Linked DNA regions of Oryctolagus cuniculus. The protein of the gene in region 1 purifies or fractionates together with the protein of each later gene. This does not show direct contact. Links are inferred from orthologs where the notes say so. Each region holds a gene or a part of one and is shown on either strand. Other genes may lie near its edges.

Region 1 (4,158 bases):
CTAATCACTGAAAGCCTAACTCATCTGCCACCTCTTCTGTAAGATGTTCTCCAGCCCAACCTTTATCACCTTTCCCCCTATACTTAATTGATATCATATGAGCTAACACTAGATTTACATATTTTCTGTTTTTTCTTCATACGCCCAACAACATAGCAGTCTTTTGAAAACAAGGCCCAAGTCCTTTATTCCTTTAGCCATCTCTCAGGAGCCTATCACAGAACACATACTCGAGTTTTATTAACTTCCCTTGTTTGAAACGAAAGACACTAACCCCATCCAGCTCTGTATCGTTCAAATACGTATTTTCCAAAATTTTTGTATTTTACTACAAATTAAAATTGGAAATCGCTCCCAGTATTGGCCAAAAGTAAGCCATGGTTTTCAATGAACATAGCTATTCGCATGAAGCACTCAATCTGCCAAAAGAAGAAATATTTTAAGTTTACCTAACAAACATCCTCATCTAGGTCCAGTCATACTTCTAACCTTACTTGGGAGGAGATGCTCTCATTTACTGATTTTGAAAAAAACTTGATTTATCCACTCACCTATTACATGGGCAGACACAAAGGCCACAGCACTTGTTGAGTTCTGTTAAGGTCTTCTCTGCCTCTCTCATGTCTTTATTTATCTGGTCCATGCCTTCTTCTATGCGGTTTAGTTGTTCTAAGAATAAAGTGTTGAAGGTACATTTTCTGTTACAGTATCAACAAGAAAACGCCATAGTGGAATAGCAAACTTCAACTTCAAATCTACCAATACTATACCACAAAGAATAAATCTATCAGTGTCAGAAGATATTACAAAATGTTCAACATGAAGACACTCTTACACCCATACTGACAATGGCTTATAATTGTGGAAGGATCTATTCTAAAGAAATCTGTACACCAGGAGCATGTGAAGATTTAGCACCCTCCCAATGCAAGCAAGTGTACTCTGACCACATCAGATCCCCAGCATTCCTATCACTTATTATGCTTGAAACTTGAGGTGACCACAAGACTAATCAAAAACAGATGAGATTTCTCAAGGCCAACTCAAATCAAATGTTCCCAAGTTAATCTGAATCTAAATCGGTTTTAGGACTTAACTTTGATTTCTAGGGTGAAGTAAGAATGCATAGAGGCCTGATGCACACAATAAGCCATGCTGGCCTAACACATACTTGGTATATAGTTGGTCACTGCCCCCTGTGCTAACCAGGCAATAAACATGATGTCATTCAAATCAGAAGTAAACACATCACTCATCTTACAAAGTTAAGGCATTCCCAAAGGAAAATCTATACAGGGCTGATTTGATAGAACATTTTGGCATTGTAAATCAATTTAAGAATTTCTGTCAGTAACTTTAACTCACCCCCTTGTTCATCCAGCATAGTGATGGTCTTGATTCCTGCATCCTGAGACTAAAACAAAGAGGGAAAATACCAATAGTAAAAAATAAATTAATTAATTAAATACCCTAAACCAACAGAAATAAGACCTTAAAAGGGCTGACAAATAGCAAGACTAGAATCATTTGGAAATTCATCCTCAGAGGATCGAAGCTACAGATAGAACTAGCATTCTTTTTTTTTTGACAGGCAGAGTGGACAGTGAGAGAGAGAGAGAGACAGAGAGAAAGGTCTTCCTTTTGCCATTGGTTCACCCTCCAATGGCCGCCACGGCCGGCGCACCGCGCTGATCCAAAGGCAGGAGCCAGGTGCTTCTCCTGGTCTCCCATGGGGTGCAGGGCCCAAGCACTTGGGCCACCCTCCACTGCACTCCCAGGCCACAGCAGAGAGCTGGCCTGGAAGAGGGGCAACCAGGACAGAATCCGGCGCCTTGACCGGGACTAGAACCCGCTGTGCCAGCGCCGCAAGGCGGAGGATTAGCCTACTGAGCCGCGGTGCCGGCCAGAACTAGCATTCTTAAATCAACACACTTCAACATAATATCCAAAAATAATTAAGTCAAAAACTTAAAATTAATTCATCTTTCCAAGCATATTCCAATACCATCACAAAGGGAAAAGCAGAAAAGGCCAGTTAGCACATGGTTTGACAATTTCAGTAATTGCAGGTTTCAAATAATAAAGTATATTGATAGAATGTGCTTTAGCAGCAACTCCAGCTAGTGCTATCAGGATCCCTCCTATAAACTTCTGTATTTAACTTGATGATTAAACACTTTCTTACCTCAATGGCTAAACCCAGGATTCTCCTTGTACTTTCCAGAGACTAGGAAAAAAATACAGTTTTAGTTTAAACATTTCAAAATATGTAGCCAAAAAAAAAAAAAAAAAAAAACACAGACTATATTCAGAACGTTATTCTGTTTAAAAATCACTAGCCCATCCCTCCCTTTAAAACAAAATCAAGAAAACTGGTCACTGTATTTTCAGTTATTCTTATCAAGTCCTTCTTAAAAGAAAATTAGGATGGTACACTTAAAGGGGTTCATAAAAATTTGATGAAGACAGAACTCTAAGAATATTACACAGATAGTAGGAAATAAATAAAAAATCCAGAATTCTTCAAATTTAGAGTATCTTTGTTGTGAGTAACTGTTAAGCAATGACTATCTGGAAAAACCATGCGAATTATCTTCCCTTACTTAGTGTTTCTGGTGAGTTGATGAAAAGCAATGAGCAATGAATGCCACTGAGGGGCAAATTCATTCTTTGACACAAAGGGACTAGGAAGACCCTGCGCCGTGAAAACTGCAACAGGATTACTTATTCTCAATAAAGCATTTACCTCATCAGTAACCTGGTGAGCCCTCAGCTGAATTTCTTCTGATGTCAGATTATCCATGATGAATCAAAACTTTATCAGGCAAAGAAATGGAAATGTGGGTATCCTACAAGAACAAGGAAACAAAGCTTTGAGCAAAACAAAGAGGGTAGACTTATGGAATTTAGGTATTTCTTATGAAGACAAGATAAAACCCACTTTTATTTATCTATCCCACAGATAGCTGAAAAAGACTAATTGGATATTTAATGCTAGTTAGTACCAAAGATGCACATAAAACAGGTTTTAGGACTTCTACTGAAGTGTGTGTTTTTTTGTTTTTTTTTTTTGTTTTTTTTTTTTAGATTTATTTATTTTATTTGAAAGAGTTACAGAGTGAGAGGGGGAGAGACAGAGATCTTCCATCTGCTGGTTTACTCCCCAAATGGCCACAATGGCTGGGATTGGGCCAATCCAAAGCCAGGAGCCAGGAGCTTCTTCCAGGTCTCCCACATTGGTGCAGGAGCCCAAGAACATGGGGCATCCTTCCATGATTTCCCAGGCACTTTAGCAAGGAGCTGGATGGGAAGTGGGGCAACTGAGACTTGAATGGATGCCTATATGGATTCCAGCGTGTCAGGGGCAGCTTTACCTGCTACGCCACAACACCGGCCCTGAAGTGCTCTTTAAAACGGGAAGGTGGTCACCCTACTTTAAGAAGAAAGGCACTGCTGCAAGACAAGCACTTTAAGAGACTACTGAAATTAATTCTTGGTTGTACAACGTTCTTCTGGAAAAGCAGTAAGGTAATAGAGTCTAGTTAAGGAAAATAACAAATTAAAAGTCATGTGCCTAATAAACACAGGAAACATTTTAGAAATATGCCAGTTGTCCAGGTTACACATTAGAGAAAGTGAAATACTTTTATTCTAAACAAGAAAAGGGTAATGCTGGTACAGAGTTCAGAAAAGAGCTCAAGTTTTCATTAAAGCACTCTTCTCCTCCACCTGCTTGTATTGTTCATAGTGTTAGTAACATCCTAAGAAACTGAAGAACTAGCCTTTCTATATCCCACCTTTGAAAGAGAGGCCTTACAGACACTGAAGCTAAAATACACAATATCTAGTAGGTGCGATCCAGTATCATTCTTGTGTATTCTCCTTTGAGAAGTCACATAAATAAACACTATGCAACAGATCTAGCTTTTCTTCCCAATACACAGATTAGATTTGCATTACATTTTTTTTAAAAAAAATCTATTCATTTATTTGAAAGATAGAGTCACAGAGAGACAGAGGCAGAGAGAGAGAGAGAGTTCTTGCATCTGCTGGTTCACTCCCCAAACAGCCATAACAGCTGAAGCTGGGCGGATACAAAGCCAGGAGCCTGGAGCTTCTTTCAGGTCTCCCATGTGGGTGTAGGGGCCCAAGGACTTG
Region 2 (3,990 bases), on another chromosome or scaffold:
AACCAGCGCCCCGATGCGGGGTGCCAGCGTCGGGGCAGCGCAGGCCCCAAAGCTGCTTCCTTTCTCCCGTGGAAGACTGGGGGGGAGGGGCTAGAGGGCGGCAGCTCCCCGAGACCTGGTGTGCCGCGCCCTCCCCACTGCAGAGCTCTGGGGGCTCGGCCCTGGCCCTGGCCCTGGAGCAGCCGCTGCGGCACGGCAGGGCAGAGTGAGCGCCAGGCCGGGCAGCGCATGCTGCTCCAGCACCTACGGCGATGTCTCTAGGCCTCCGCTATCCACGGGGCTTTGGCGAGGACGGAAGCGCCAGGCCCGGCGTCAGGAAGCACGGGCGGCAGCGTCCCCAGTCGCTGCTCAGACCCAGCACTCTCCTCTCGGGCTCGGCTCAAGTCCAGGCCCTCGCTCGCTCGTGGCCTCACCTTGGCCCAGCCCCAACCCCCTGCACTAAACCTTCACAGGCCGCGCCTCACAGCTCCGCAGCACACGGCTCCCCCGATGGCCCATCACGCCCGAGGGAGACCACCCCTGGCCGTCCCTGTCACCAGGTGAGGCCTTTGCTCACAGCACTCATGCCAGGCGCCGTCCGCCCGAGTCCTGCAGGCTTTGAAGGACATCACCCAGCCCACCTTACAACCAACAACCCAGCCTCACTAGTCCACGCCAAGTGTCGCGCTCCCCATCCCAACCCAGCAGCCTGTCCCAGGCTGGCTTAGCTGCCCGCCCCCCCCCCGGTGCAGCCCAGCGGGGCCCTAACCCTGGGCCAAGGGCACCAGACACCACCAGCCACCCTCAGAACAGCGCACTTGAATTACACACACGCATGCGCACACACACGGTCTCCACTCAGTCTACAACAAAACCCATGAGGACCCGGACGTTTTCCTTTGCTGTTATCCCACCTCCAGCAGCAAGGGCAGGCTCAGTCTCCTGGAAAGACCCTCCCCCCCCCGCCTCCCAGACCCCCTTCCCCGGCTTGCAGCAAACCCCAGTCCCATTCCCCGTCCTAAGCTCGGCCTCAGCGGCTTCCCGCTGACCTCCACTACCCCTCCCCGGCCCCCGTGCCCTGACCTCTGCTACCCCTCCCTGGCCCTGACCCCCCAAGGTTCCAGCTGACCTCTGCTACCCCTCCCCGGCCCTGATCCCCCAAGGTTCCAGCTGACCTCCGCTACCCCTCCCCGGCCCTGACCCCCAAGCTTCCAACTGACCTCCGCTACCCCTCCCCGGCTCTGACCCCCCAAGCTTCCAGCTGACCTCCGCTACCCCTCCCCGGCCCTGACCCCCCAAGCTTCCAGCTGACCTCCGCTACCCCTCCTGGGCCCTGACCCCCCAAGGTTCCAGCTGACCTCCGCTACCCCTCCCCGGCCCCGTGCCCTGACCCCCCAAGCTTCCCGCTGACCTCCGCCACCCCTCCCCAGCCCCGTGCCCTGACCCCCCAAGCTTCCCGCTGACCTCCGCTACCCCTCCCCGGCTCTGACCCCCCAAGCTTCCAGCTGACCTCCGCTACCCCTCCCCGGCCCCGTGCCCTGACCCCCCAAGCTTCCCACTGACCTCCGCTACCCCTCCCCGTGCCCTGACCCCCCAAGCTTCCCGCTGACCTCTGCCACCCCTCCCCGGCCCCGTGCCCTGACCCCCCCAAGTTTCCCGCTGACCTCCGCCACCCCTCCCCGGCCCCGTGCCCTGACCCCCCAAGCTTCCCGCTGACCTCCGCTACCCCTCCCCGGCCCGTGCCCTGACCCCGCTAAGCCCCGCGGTCCGCAGGCCTTCCCTGCCCCTTTCGGCTCCTGAGCCGCTCCCCGGCTCCCGCCTGGCTCTCTACCAGCCCCCATCACCGCACACCTCTTTCCTTGCAGGGCACTCCCAACACTGCCAGCCACCACTTCGGAGCGCTCGCCATCCGCCAGCCCAACGCCGCCCGGCTATCGACGGGGAGGAGACAGCTCTCACTGGCTACCCCTTCGTCGGGGAGATTAAAACTCACCCAGGTCGCGGGCTGAGCGGCAGCCGCACCCCAAAGCCCCTCAGTGCGGCCGGCCCTGAGCTGCCGCCAACTTCCGTGGGCGCCTGCCGCATGGCAGCCGCTAGTCCTGTCCCCAAGCCCTCAGGCCCTGTGCGAGCCCTGTCCTTACCGAAGGGCTACGCAGCAGCCCCCTGCCTGGGCTCGGGAAGGTCAGCCCCTTGGGCAGGTGGCCCCAGCCCCAGGCCCCGGCGCGACCCCTCAAACAGATCCCCCGAGGGCTTGAGAAGGCTTTGGAACCTGGCCCCCGCGGCTGGTCCCCGCCAAGGCCACTGCCCGTATCCCCTTCGCCCAGGTCTCCGCTGGCCTCTGAGCCCGTCTTCAGCCTGGATCCCCTTCCCCGCCTCAAGAGGTGGTCGCCCGGGCCCGTGGGTCCCCAGCCCAAGCCCCTTCGGCCCTCTCCCTGGAAACCGGCCCCCGCACCGCGCCTCCCCCGCCACCCCAGGCCGTGACCCCTGCGGCCCCCAGCCCAGGTCCCGGCCGACCTTTCGGCCTGGTTCCTACCCGAACAGGCCTGAGAAGAAGGACTGCGAGTTCTTCACTTTGCGCTCCGCCTCGGCGAGCAGCGCCATCGCCTCCGCTTCCTTCCCCGAGTTATCCATGGCGGCCGCAGAGCGAACTCAGCGAACCGCCCGACCCGGGCCCTGGGAGGACTCAGGCCCGGCCGGGCCGCGGTACACAGGTCCCGGGAGCTTAGCTGGCTGCGTTGACGTCGCACCGGCGCGCGCCGCCCGAGGCCGGGCACCAGGTGACTGGCACTGGCCAATCAGGGACCTCGTAGCGCGGCGCGCTCCCCGCTGGCCACGCCCCGGCAGGCCGCCGCGCACCGCCCCGTGACTCTCGACGCATGCGTAGCCACCTGTTTTGCGCCTCTCTTCCGGATGCTCCGCACCCACCACCTCGTGACGCCGCACTAGCCAATCGTAGCCCTCACCGTCAGGGACCCACCCCCAAAGTGCTGCCGCAGTATTTGCCTTTCCACCAATCAGCAGCCGCTCTCTGCTCGGGTCCGCCCCACCTTGCGGAAGTTGGGCACGGGTCAGCTGGAGCGGCGGCTGTCACGTGACAACTTCCGGCGCACGCCTGGGTTTGACAGTTCTCTTGCTCGGTGTTTTAGTCCCGCCTCTAAGCCTTGTCTCGCGTGGTTCCTTTCACTCGAAAAGGCCTCAGTGGGAAAAAAGGGGAGCGTTCTGCTTTCTCTTGCGCCCTCTGCCGGCCGATGCTGAAACTGGCGCGGGAGGCCCGTGCAGTGCTTGACAGATGGGAGCGCCTGCAGCCGCGCGTGCGAGATTCAGGCGAGAGGGGGACGCAGGGACGGGGCAGAGAACGAGAGGCGTCGCCCCCGGAGCTTGTTTCCCAGGGGCCGGACTCGCCAGTCTGAGCCGCGGGGCCGCGCAGAGCGTGGGGCGCTGCTGGCGCCGCGGGGGGCCCCTCTCGCCGTGGGCCCTCCGTCCTGGCGGCTTCCCCGGCCAGCCGTCCGGCAGGGAGCTCGACCTGGCCGCTGGCCGCAAGTCAAGCTGTCTGCCTGCCGGCGGTTCCAGCATTGCCTGGTGTCTTGATCTTGATTTTTAGTACTGCTCCCCTTCCCTAGTAAGAGCCGAGGGGGCCACGGCTGCTCAGTGCAGGGTGGCGTCGGATTGACCTCAAGAAGTCAGGGCACAGACGCTGGCCGGCCACACGGTGCCCAGATCGGCTTGTTCACTGCATCAGAGGTACCAGCCTAATGGCAAGCGTGGGGAAGCTGTGGGGTCTGGAGTTTTGGGAACCTATTCTGAAAAGCTGCTTTACAGAGTCAGGTTGCAGGGCCCGCCCTGTCGCGATCCCCATTCTGAGCCTGCGAGGCACAGGAGTCCATTTCTTTCCAGAGCCCCGCCCAGCATGGGACCGGCGTGTGCACGCGCAGTGCTGTGCGGGGCTGGGGTTGACTGACCAGGGCACGGCAGGCCGACCTCTCGCCCAGCTCTCTTCCAGGAAGCGCTTTC
Region 3 (3,939 bases), on another chromosome or scaffold:
AGTAATGTCGTGCAAATAAGAGTGACACAAGGACTACTGGGGACTAACTTTCCAGTAAGAAAGAAATTGGTTCAAAGAAGAGTGATGGAACAAAAAACAAGGAAACCAAAGGGATGTTGGTGTGCAAATGATCTGCTAATTAACACGCTGGAAGCTCCCAGAAGATCTTGGGATTCTCAGGACCAAGTGGGGCCAGTCTCAGGGCCTCCCAATGGATGCAAAGAAGGTGCATGTAGGGAGGCCTGGCCAGGTGCTTTTGTCTGTTGTGGGAGGAGTGCAGAGGGGGAGGAGGGGGAAGGCAAGGAAGGATCAGCTGGATGGGGGAAGGAGAGGGGCTGTTGCATAGCAGATGCAAATGAGGGGACTTGGGACTGGTCAGGAGGGAAAGGGGGGGACAGGGACAGAGAGAGGCGAGGACGGGGACACCTCAGGAAGGGGTGTTAAGGACAACCGGAAAAATCTTCTAGTAATAAAACTACAAACAGACCAAATATATATAATATTATATATGTATAAATAACAGCTGGCTATTTACAGGGGGCACACACACAGACACACACACACACACACGGATCCGGGGAGGGGCTGAGAGATATGGCTGAGAGGTGGAGGAACGGCTGGGGGTGGGGGAGAGGCCCTTCTCTAGGCAGGGCAGACTCCTCGGGGATTTAAGTGCTGAAGTAAACTGTGGAGAGAGGGAAGAGGAAGAGGAAGAGGGAGGGGGGAGGGAGGGAGAGAGAGAGAGCTGGGTGTCAGGCCCGGCCCTGCTGCGGTCCTCCCCACCCCCTAGCTGGCTGGCTGCTGCCCCTTCCCCCAGCTCGAGGCCTCAGTCTCTCCATCTGTGAAGCAAGGGGCTGGCCAGATGGGTGCCTCCACGGGATGGCTTTGGAGCCACACCCCCACCCAATTCACCAGCTCTCAGACAGCGGCAGGACTGGCTTCCTGGCCATGTCTCCATTTCCGCCTCCCACTCCCCAGTTCCAGTTCCCAAACTGGGCTCTCAAGCCCAAAGGATGCTCAGTGAAGTAGTGGGAGATCCACCGGCTTTCCCGTTGCCAACAGTCAGGCACCCGGCAGGCTGCACAGGCTTTCTGGCTCTAGGACCCACAGCTCCCTAAGCAGCTATGTGGCGTTTGCCAGAGTGAAGACTAGGTTAGTGACCTTCACATCCCAGACTGCACCCACCGGGGGGAGCCTCTCCAGAGAAGGGGCCCCGGCCACTCCCGCCCCACTCACCGATGATGATGATGAGGATGATGGCGCAAATCACTCCCAAGATGATCATCATCTGGGGGCGGGAGGGGAGGGTCAGTGAGACAAGCCCCCATCCTTCCATTCACCCCCCAGTTCTCCCGCCCCCGCCCTCACCTTGAGGTTTTTCCACCAGTATTTGCGCTTGAGCTTGGCTGCACTAGTTTCAAACTGGGAGGCCCCCGCCTGGAGTGCATCGGCGCGGTCGTCCAGCTCAGACAGCTTCTGGTCCCGCTCCAGGACTTTGTCCACATTCACCCTCATGATGTCCACCACCTGGGGGAGGGGCCCAGGAGGCAGGGGGTGTGCCAAGGCCCGCCGAAACGAGGGCACTCCTTGACCGTGTGCCCAGGGTGCCATACACAGAACATGCACCCAGATACCGCCAAGTTAACATGCCAAGGACACACAGAGAACATGCCTAGCATACCTGGGGACATGCAAGGAGCACACATCAGGGGCATGCTGGCAGCCACACATTCAGATGTCAGAGCGACCCTCAGAGAGCCTGTCAGTCACCAGGGCAAACCTGCCCAGGCTGGCACACCGCAGGCTAGCAAGGCTGCTTGACACCCCAGCGCCCTTCCAAATGTGTGCTGACGCGAAGGCAGGGAGGAGGCTCGGCATGTCTTTGTCCCCACACCCACAGCTGTGAACTGTCATCACCCCCAACCCGCGATGGGCCCCACACCTGCGTGCCCACCTGCAGGCTCTGGCCTGCGGCCTCCCACCCGGCTCACACTCACCTCATCCACCTGGGCCTGGGTCTGCTGCAGTCTCCTGTTACTGGTGAGATTGGGAGGGGGCGCAGGGGGGCCGCCCTCCCCGGCCGGGGCGGCAGGGGGGGCGGTGGCAGCGGTAGCAGACCTGAGGAGCAGGCGCAGATTAAGGCCCAGGGTCCAGAGACTCCGGCCCCGCGGCCAGGGCTCCGCCCATCCACCTGTCCATCCGTCGTCCCTCCAGTCCTCCTTTTCGGGAGGAAGGCCGCCCGATGGGAGCCCTGGTCTCCGTCCAGCCCCATCGCCGCTGAGCTGAGTGACCTTGAGCGAGGCCCCCTCCCCCCTCCGGGCCTCAGTTTCCCCGCCTGCCAAATGAGAGCGACCTCACGGACGCGGTCTGGGGTCGACACCGGATGACAGGCGTCCGCGGTGACAGGGCCGGGGCGGGGCAAGGCAGACGCTGGGTCCGCACCCTCCCGCGCGGCCATCGCCCGCGCCGGCCAGCCCGGGGGCCGCGGGGGCTCTCCCCGGCCCGCCGCGCAGTCACGGGCGCCAGGCTGGCCCCGAGAGCACCGGGGGCGCGGGCGGGACCCCGGGCCCTCCCCGCGCGGTCCACTCCCAGGGCGGCGGCCGAGGCGGGGAAGCGCGGTACGGACGGCGGGCGGCCGGCCGACTCACATGGCGGGGGCAGCGGGTGGAGGACTTGGCAGCGGCAGTGATGGCGGCGGCGGCGGCAGCGGCGGCGGCTCGCGCTGGCTCCGACTGGCGCTGGCTGCCCGGGACGGGAAGATGGCGGCCGCACGTCACCCGCACCCGGGCACTGCGGGCGGGGGCGGGGCTCGCAGGCGACACGTCGCGAGCGCGGCCGCGGGGGCGGGGCGGGGCCCGGCGGGGCGGGGGTCGAGCCGGGCGGGGCCGCCGCGGCGCGCCTCGCGCGCCCTCCCCGCACCTCGCGCGCCCTCCGCGCCACCCCTGGCTGACTGCTGCGGCTTTCCCCAAACCCCCGCGCCGCCGCGTCCTGGAGGCTCGCAGCCCCCTGCTACCCGGCCTTCCGCCGCGGAGCCCCGCACCTCACCCTAGGCCACCTCCTCCCTCTCCCGTGACTCCGATAAACCAGTCCGCAGCCCCGTGGCCCGAGGTCTCGCCCTGGCCAGGTTGCAATGCCTGGTGACCCCCCAGCTTCGGCACTCGCAATGGGCTGGGCGTGGGGAAATCAGAAGGGCCCAGCGGAGAGCGGGAACGCTCCTGCCAGAGTGGAGGAGCGGGGTGATGCGCGCTGAGACCACCTGTCACCTGGCAGGTGGATGGCTGAAGGGAGGTTTGGGGCCCCTGCGGAGCAGGAGGAGGAGGAGGAGGACCCTTCCCCTCCCCAGGCCCCGCCTCCAACCAAATCCCCGAGGGGCTGCAGGCTATGAAACTGCCAAGTTCAGAGCAGGGGCAGGCAAAGCTGGAGCAGACCCAGGGGGAGGGCGCATGCTGCCCCCCGCACTCACCCCCCCGGGGGGGGACATCGTCACGTCTAGGCCGGCCACAGACCCAGCTGTGCCCCAGACTGGAGTCAGCTGCTGCGGGACAGGCGAGGGCTTTGGCTTTGAACCTGGCCGCAGGCCGGGGGCTTTTTACCTTGGGAGGAAGGAGGACAGCAGGCAAGGGTGGCACTGCTATGTGGTGCTGCTTTACACGTGGGCTAGCCTCCTGGATGTGTCCCCCGGGCAGCTCCTTTTCTCTCTCTGGATCTCCGACACATTACACATCTAGGACTAAATATGTACGGCAGCAGTGGGATAGCTTGTAGGAGATGGTCCCCCTCCTAGGCCATCGATCACTGGTCTCCACCTAAATCCTGCACGTAGTCCCAGCCAGCTTGCAGGAGAAAATGGGCACGGGTGAGCTGTGCCTCTGGAGTGGGCAGGATCAAGGCAAGCTTCCAGGATAGAGGAAGCATTTGGGGGGGGGGGGCGATGGCTGT
Region 4 (3,987 bases), on another chromosome or scaffold:
CACTTCCACTGAATCGAAGCTTTTCTGACCGCTTTCTCTTGGTTGTGAACCTTAATTTCGAATATAAGATGATAGGTAAGCGCAGCTTTCTTGGATAATCTGAATTCCCAAGTGCCAGGAGTAGGATTTCATTATAAAATTAATAGCTAATCTTATTCTGTCTCCTGAAGATTTAATTGCTATTCTCGTTACCCATTCGAAATCAGCTGTACTGTGTGAACGAAATAAAAGACAATAACACGAACCCCCTCTCTGGCTGCACGGTCGCTTCTGGCAGTTCCACACAGTAGTTGGCGCCCAACGGGGGGTCCCTGAGACTTGCATGTAAAACTAGTCTAGATGTCTTCTTTTTTGTAAGTTTTATTTTTGTAATTGTGCATGTAAAGCATCATTGAATCAATGGATCTGTTGAAGAACTCAGCTGCTGGAAACCATGCAAAATGTTTTGAATTGCCCTTAAAATATGGAAAATGTTTTCTGAATGCTTTATATTCTTTCTGCTGTAAATTAAAAATGAAGAAAATTTCCCCATACTATCCGTGTTTTGCTTTAACTTGACCCGTTCCCGGAATCCAAGGGGGTGAGCACGTGCCGGTTCCCAATGCCAACCCGTGATCCCGAACAGCGCTGGGCGGACGCCTTCCTGAGCGAGAGTCAGTCCTGCAGACGCCCAGCTTTGCAGTTGAAGTCCCAAGCCCTGGGCCAGTGTCCCGGCCAGCGGCCGTCCGCGCCGGCACCGTCCCACGCCCGTAGCGGCCCCCGCCGGCTCCTCGAGGCCCCCGGCCCCGCCGGCTGCCGCGTGCCCGGCGCGTGCCCAGCGCGGCCGGCCCGGCCCGACCCCCGACCCCAACCCGGGGCGCGCGCTCGCTCCTTCCTCACGTGACAGACGCGGCCAAGCCGGCACTGCGTTCCCCACTCCCACCTCACACTCCGCCTCGACCCGGGCGCCCCTCAGCGCGGCCGGCGGCGGGCGCTGACAGACACCGGTCACAAACGAAAACACCCGGAAGAACGTACAGAGCCCCGCCCTCGCCCAGACAGTCCCTGTCCCGTACCGCCTGCTCCCCCTGACCGCGTCCCCAGCGGCCAGGCCCCCCCACGCCGCCATTGCCAGTGGCCCGGGGCGGCCGCCACAGGCCCCGCCGACGGCGTTAGGACGCAGACGGCGCCTCGCGCTGGCCCCGCCCACGTGGGCGCCCACTTCCGGCGCGCCCGGCCGCGCCCGATGACGTCATTGCCGCCGCGCCACCCCACCCATCCCCGAGCCTAGGTCCTGGGCTGCGCAGCTCGGAGGACTCTCGCCCCGCCGTCCGCGCCTCCGCCGCTGCCAAAATGTGAGTGACGCGACGGGGCGCGGGGCGGCTTCGGGGCCCGCAGGCGGCGGCCCGCGGCGGGAGCCGTCGCACGGCCCGGTGGCTGCCTGCCGGTCGCCCCTCCGCCGCGGGCCGAGCCCGTGAGGGCGTTGAGTGCGTTCCGAGGCCTGCGGCGGGCAGCGCCCGCGGGAGTGCGGGCCGTGGCAGGGCCTAGCTGTCGCCGCGGCGCCGCCGGCCGTCCCCAGGGCCCTGCCGCCGGCGGGCTTCCGGGAGGAAGTGGCTGCGCCCAGCCCTGCAGCCCGGCCCTGCCCCGCGAGGTCCCCAAGAGCAGCGCCGGCGACCGCGGGGCCGGGAGCGGCGGCCTCGGGACACGGCAGCCTGGCCGGGGCCTTGCTGCTCCTGAGCGAATGCGTTCCTGGGGCTGCGGCCCTGGAGACCGCTGTTTCCAGATTCGGTTGTCCAGCATCGCAGGGCCCCGGCAGTCTCGCCTCCAGCCCCTCGTTGCAACCCCTGCGGGGAAAACCAGCCCAGCGCCCGAGGGGCGCGCCCGTGGGACGTCCCTGGGGAGGCCGCTGTGCTGGTCAGCAGAGCCCCGCGGACCCCCGGAGCCGGTGAATGCCCCCTGGAGTGACTGCTAAACCTCGTGTTGAGGGCATCGGCAGTGTCCCCCCCACCCCAAAGAGTTAGGATCCAAGGAGCCCGCGCGGGGCGTGGGCCCTCTGCGTGCTCTCGCGGACACTCCACGCAGAACAGCGTGGGATCTGCCTTATTCCCCGGCTGCTGACGCGCGGCAGGTTTTAAATAACTGATGTTGTGTGGCGAGGCAGGTGCTCCACGCATTATTATTATTATTATCATTTTTGGACAGGCAGAGTGGACAGTGAGAGAGAGACAGAGAGAAAGGTCTTCCTTTTCCGTTGGTTCACCCTCCAATGGCCGCCGCGGCCGGCGCGCTGCAGCCAGTGCACCGCGCTGATCCGAAGGCAGGAGCCAGGTGCTTCTCCTGGTCTCCCATGGGGTGCAGGGCCCAAGCACCCGTGCCATCCTCCACTGCCTTCCCGGGCCACAGCAGAGAGCTGGCCTGGAAGAGGGACAACCGGGACAGAACCCGGCGCCCCGACCGGGACTAGAACCCGGAGTGCCGGCGCCGCAGGCGGAGGATTAGCCTAGTGAGCCGCGGCGCCAGCACTCCAGGCATTCTTGAACACGGAGGAGAGAATTCTAGGACCCAGGAGCCCGTGGTTTGTCAGGAGAGAGGTGACTGGTGACTGTCCGGCGCCAGCCAAGCCCTAGGGGAGCTCCGGGCCGCAGTGGCCAAGAGAGGGAGACTTGGAGGATGAGTCGGTCGCTGAGAGGATGCGATGCTTCCTCGCCATTCTCGAACATTCCACGGCATCCCCCCCCCCCCCCCCCCGCCCGGTGTTCCTACGCTGTGTCTGTAAATGAGTCGCTATTAGGAGACACCGGAACTCTTATTCCTCTGAAAGCATTGTTGCCGCAGTGGAAGGGCCCGGGGAGTCCTGAGTGCCGAGAGCGGCCTGTGTGTGTGCCCGGCTGGGGGTCGCTGCTGTGTACCAGACTCTACCGAGCCTTCCTCCTGGACTCCGGTCCCTCGGATGTGGGCAAATTGGTAATCTTGGAGGAACTGTTCAGGTCTACAGGCAGGGTTCTCTTTCGCTTTGGTTGTGATGTGAGCGTTGTCCGCACTGGAGTCCTGGGGAATGGGATCGCATCCTAAAGCTGACAGTACTGTATTGGGATTCCTGACCGACTCATGCTGTGCCTTTCCGCGTTCCAGGTCCACGGGTGCACCTGCAGGTTCCAGCGCTGCTGCCGGCAGCAGAAGACTTCAGCAGACGCAGAACCAAGTGGATGAGGTATCGCTCGAAATGCTGGGAACGTAGATTTAAACAAACATGGCAGCGTGCCGAAGATAATTCTGTTTAGAAAAACTCTCGTAAAGGTGTGAATGGAACATCAGTGTTGAGTTATCATAAAGGTAGTGAATCTGCCCTAATCTAAGCCAAAGTCAGACTCTCCGGGAACCTATATAGAATCATGTACATAAAACAGTCTCCCTGAGGGCATGCCCCAAAAGTGTCTTATTAAAAAAAGTAACAGAACTTTAAGGATTAGGTCTAAGATTGCTCATGCCAGGACCAGTCCTTCTGATGGATATACATGTATTTTTAAATCAAAACGCTCTGTCCTTTAGCCTGACCTACACATTACCCAGTCTGAGCAAGTCTCTGTAGAATTCATCTGTGACAGTTGCCCATTGACACACAGAAGGCAGTCTCTGGCAAACTGCAGCTCAACACATCCGTATTTATAGAATTCTTTTTTTTAAAAAAAAGATTTATTTATTTATTTATTTGAAAGTCAGAGTTAATACACAGAGAAGACGAGGCAGAAAGGGAGACAGAAGCCAGGAGCTTCTTCCGGGTCTCCCACATGGGTGCAGAGGCCCAAGCACTTGGGCCATCTTCTGCTGCTTTCCCAGGCCACAGCGGAGAGCTGGATCGGAAGTGGAGCGGCTGGGATACAAACTGGTGCCCTTATGGGATGTTGGCACTGCAGATGGTGGCTTTACGCTTAGGCCACAGTGCCAGTTCCCTAGAATTCTTGAGCAATAGATGTTCACAGAATCTTTTTTTTTTTTTTTTTTTTTTTG

Evidence for each region.
Region 2: the proteins of SNAP23 (region 1) and NAPA purify together in Homo sapiens (affinity purification with mass spectrometry; 4 studies listed by BioGRID and IntAct, with this or other methods). This does not show direct contact. The link is inferred for Oryctolagus cuniculus from reciprocal best matches to the Homo sapiens genes SNAP23 and NAPA.
Region 3: the proteins of SNAP23 (region 1) and VAMP2 purify together in Homo sapiens (affinity purification with western blotting; 4 studies listed by BioGRID and IntAct, with this or other methods). This does not show direct contact. The link is inferred for Oryctolagus cuniculus from reciprocal best matches to the Homo sapiens genes SNAP23 and VAMP2.
Region 4: the proteins of SNAP23 (region 1) and VAMP3 purify together in Homo sapiens (affinity purification with western blotting; 6 studies listed by BioGRID and IntAct, with this or other methods). This does not show direct contact. The link is inferred for Oryctolagus cuniculus from reciprocal best matches to the Homo sapiens genes SNAP23 and VAMP3.

Annotation. Positions count from the first base shown.
Region 1 is NC_091443.1:65,545,169-65,549,326, reverse strand, and holds the start of SNAP23 (synaptosomal-associated protein 23), read right to left. Parts: upstream 2,804-4,158; coding exon 2,747-2,803; intron 2,228-2,746; coding exon 2,186-2,227; intron 1,415-2,185; coding exon 1,366-1,414; intron 670-1,365; coding exon 552-669; intron 1-551. UniProt on the Homo sapiens protein: Essential component of the high affinity receptor for the general membrane fusion machinery and an important regulator of transport vesicle docking and fusion.
Region 2 is NC_091449.1:10,127,640-10,131,629, reverse strand, and holds the start of NAPA (alpha-soluble NSF attachment protein), read right to left. Parts: upstream 2,809-3,990; 5' UTR 2,611-2,808; coding exon 2,513-2,610; intron 1-2,512. UniProt on the Homo sapiens protein: Required for vesicular transport between the endoplasmic reticulum and the Golgi apparatus. Together with GNA12 promotes CDH5 localization to plasma membrane.
Region 3 is NC_091448.1:52,652,078-52,656,016, forward strand, and holds the start of VAMP2 (vesicle-associated membrane protein 2), read right to left. Parts: upstream 2,809-3,939; 5' UTR 2,651-2,808; coding exon 2,649-2,650; intron 2,119-2,648; coding exon 1,998-2,118; intron 1,528-1,997; coding exon 1,369-1,527; intron 1,289-1,368; coding exon 1,237-1,288; intron 686-1,236; coding exon 669-685; 3' UTR 1-668. UniProt on the Homo sapiens protein: Involved in the targeting and/or fusion of transport vesicles to their target membrane. Major SNARE protein of synaptic vesicles which mediates fusion of synaptic vesicles to release neurotransmitters.
Region 4 is NC_091438.1:159,935,331-159,939,317, reverse strand, and holds the start of VAMP3 (vesicle-associated membrane protein 3), read left to right. Parts: upstream 1-1,179; 5' UTR 1,180-1,332; coding exon 1,333-1,334; intron 1,335-3,111; coding exon 3,112-3,190; intron 3,191-3,987. UniProt on the Homo sapiens protein: SNARE involved in vesicular transport from the late endosomes to the trans-Golgi network.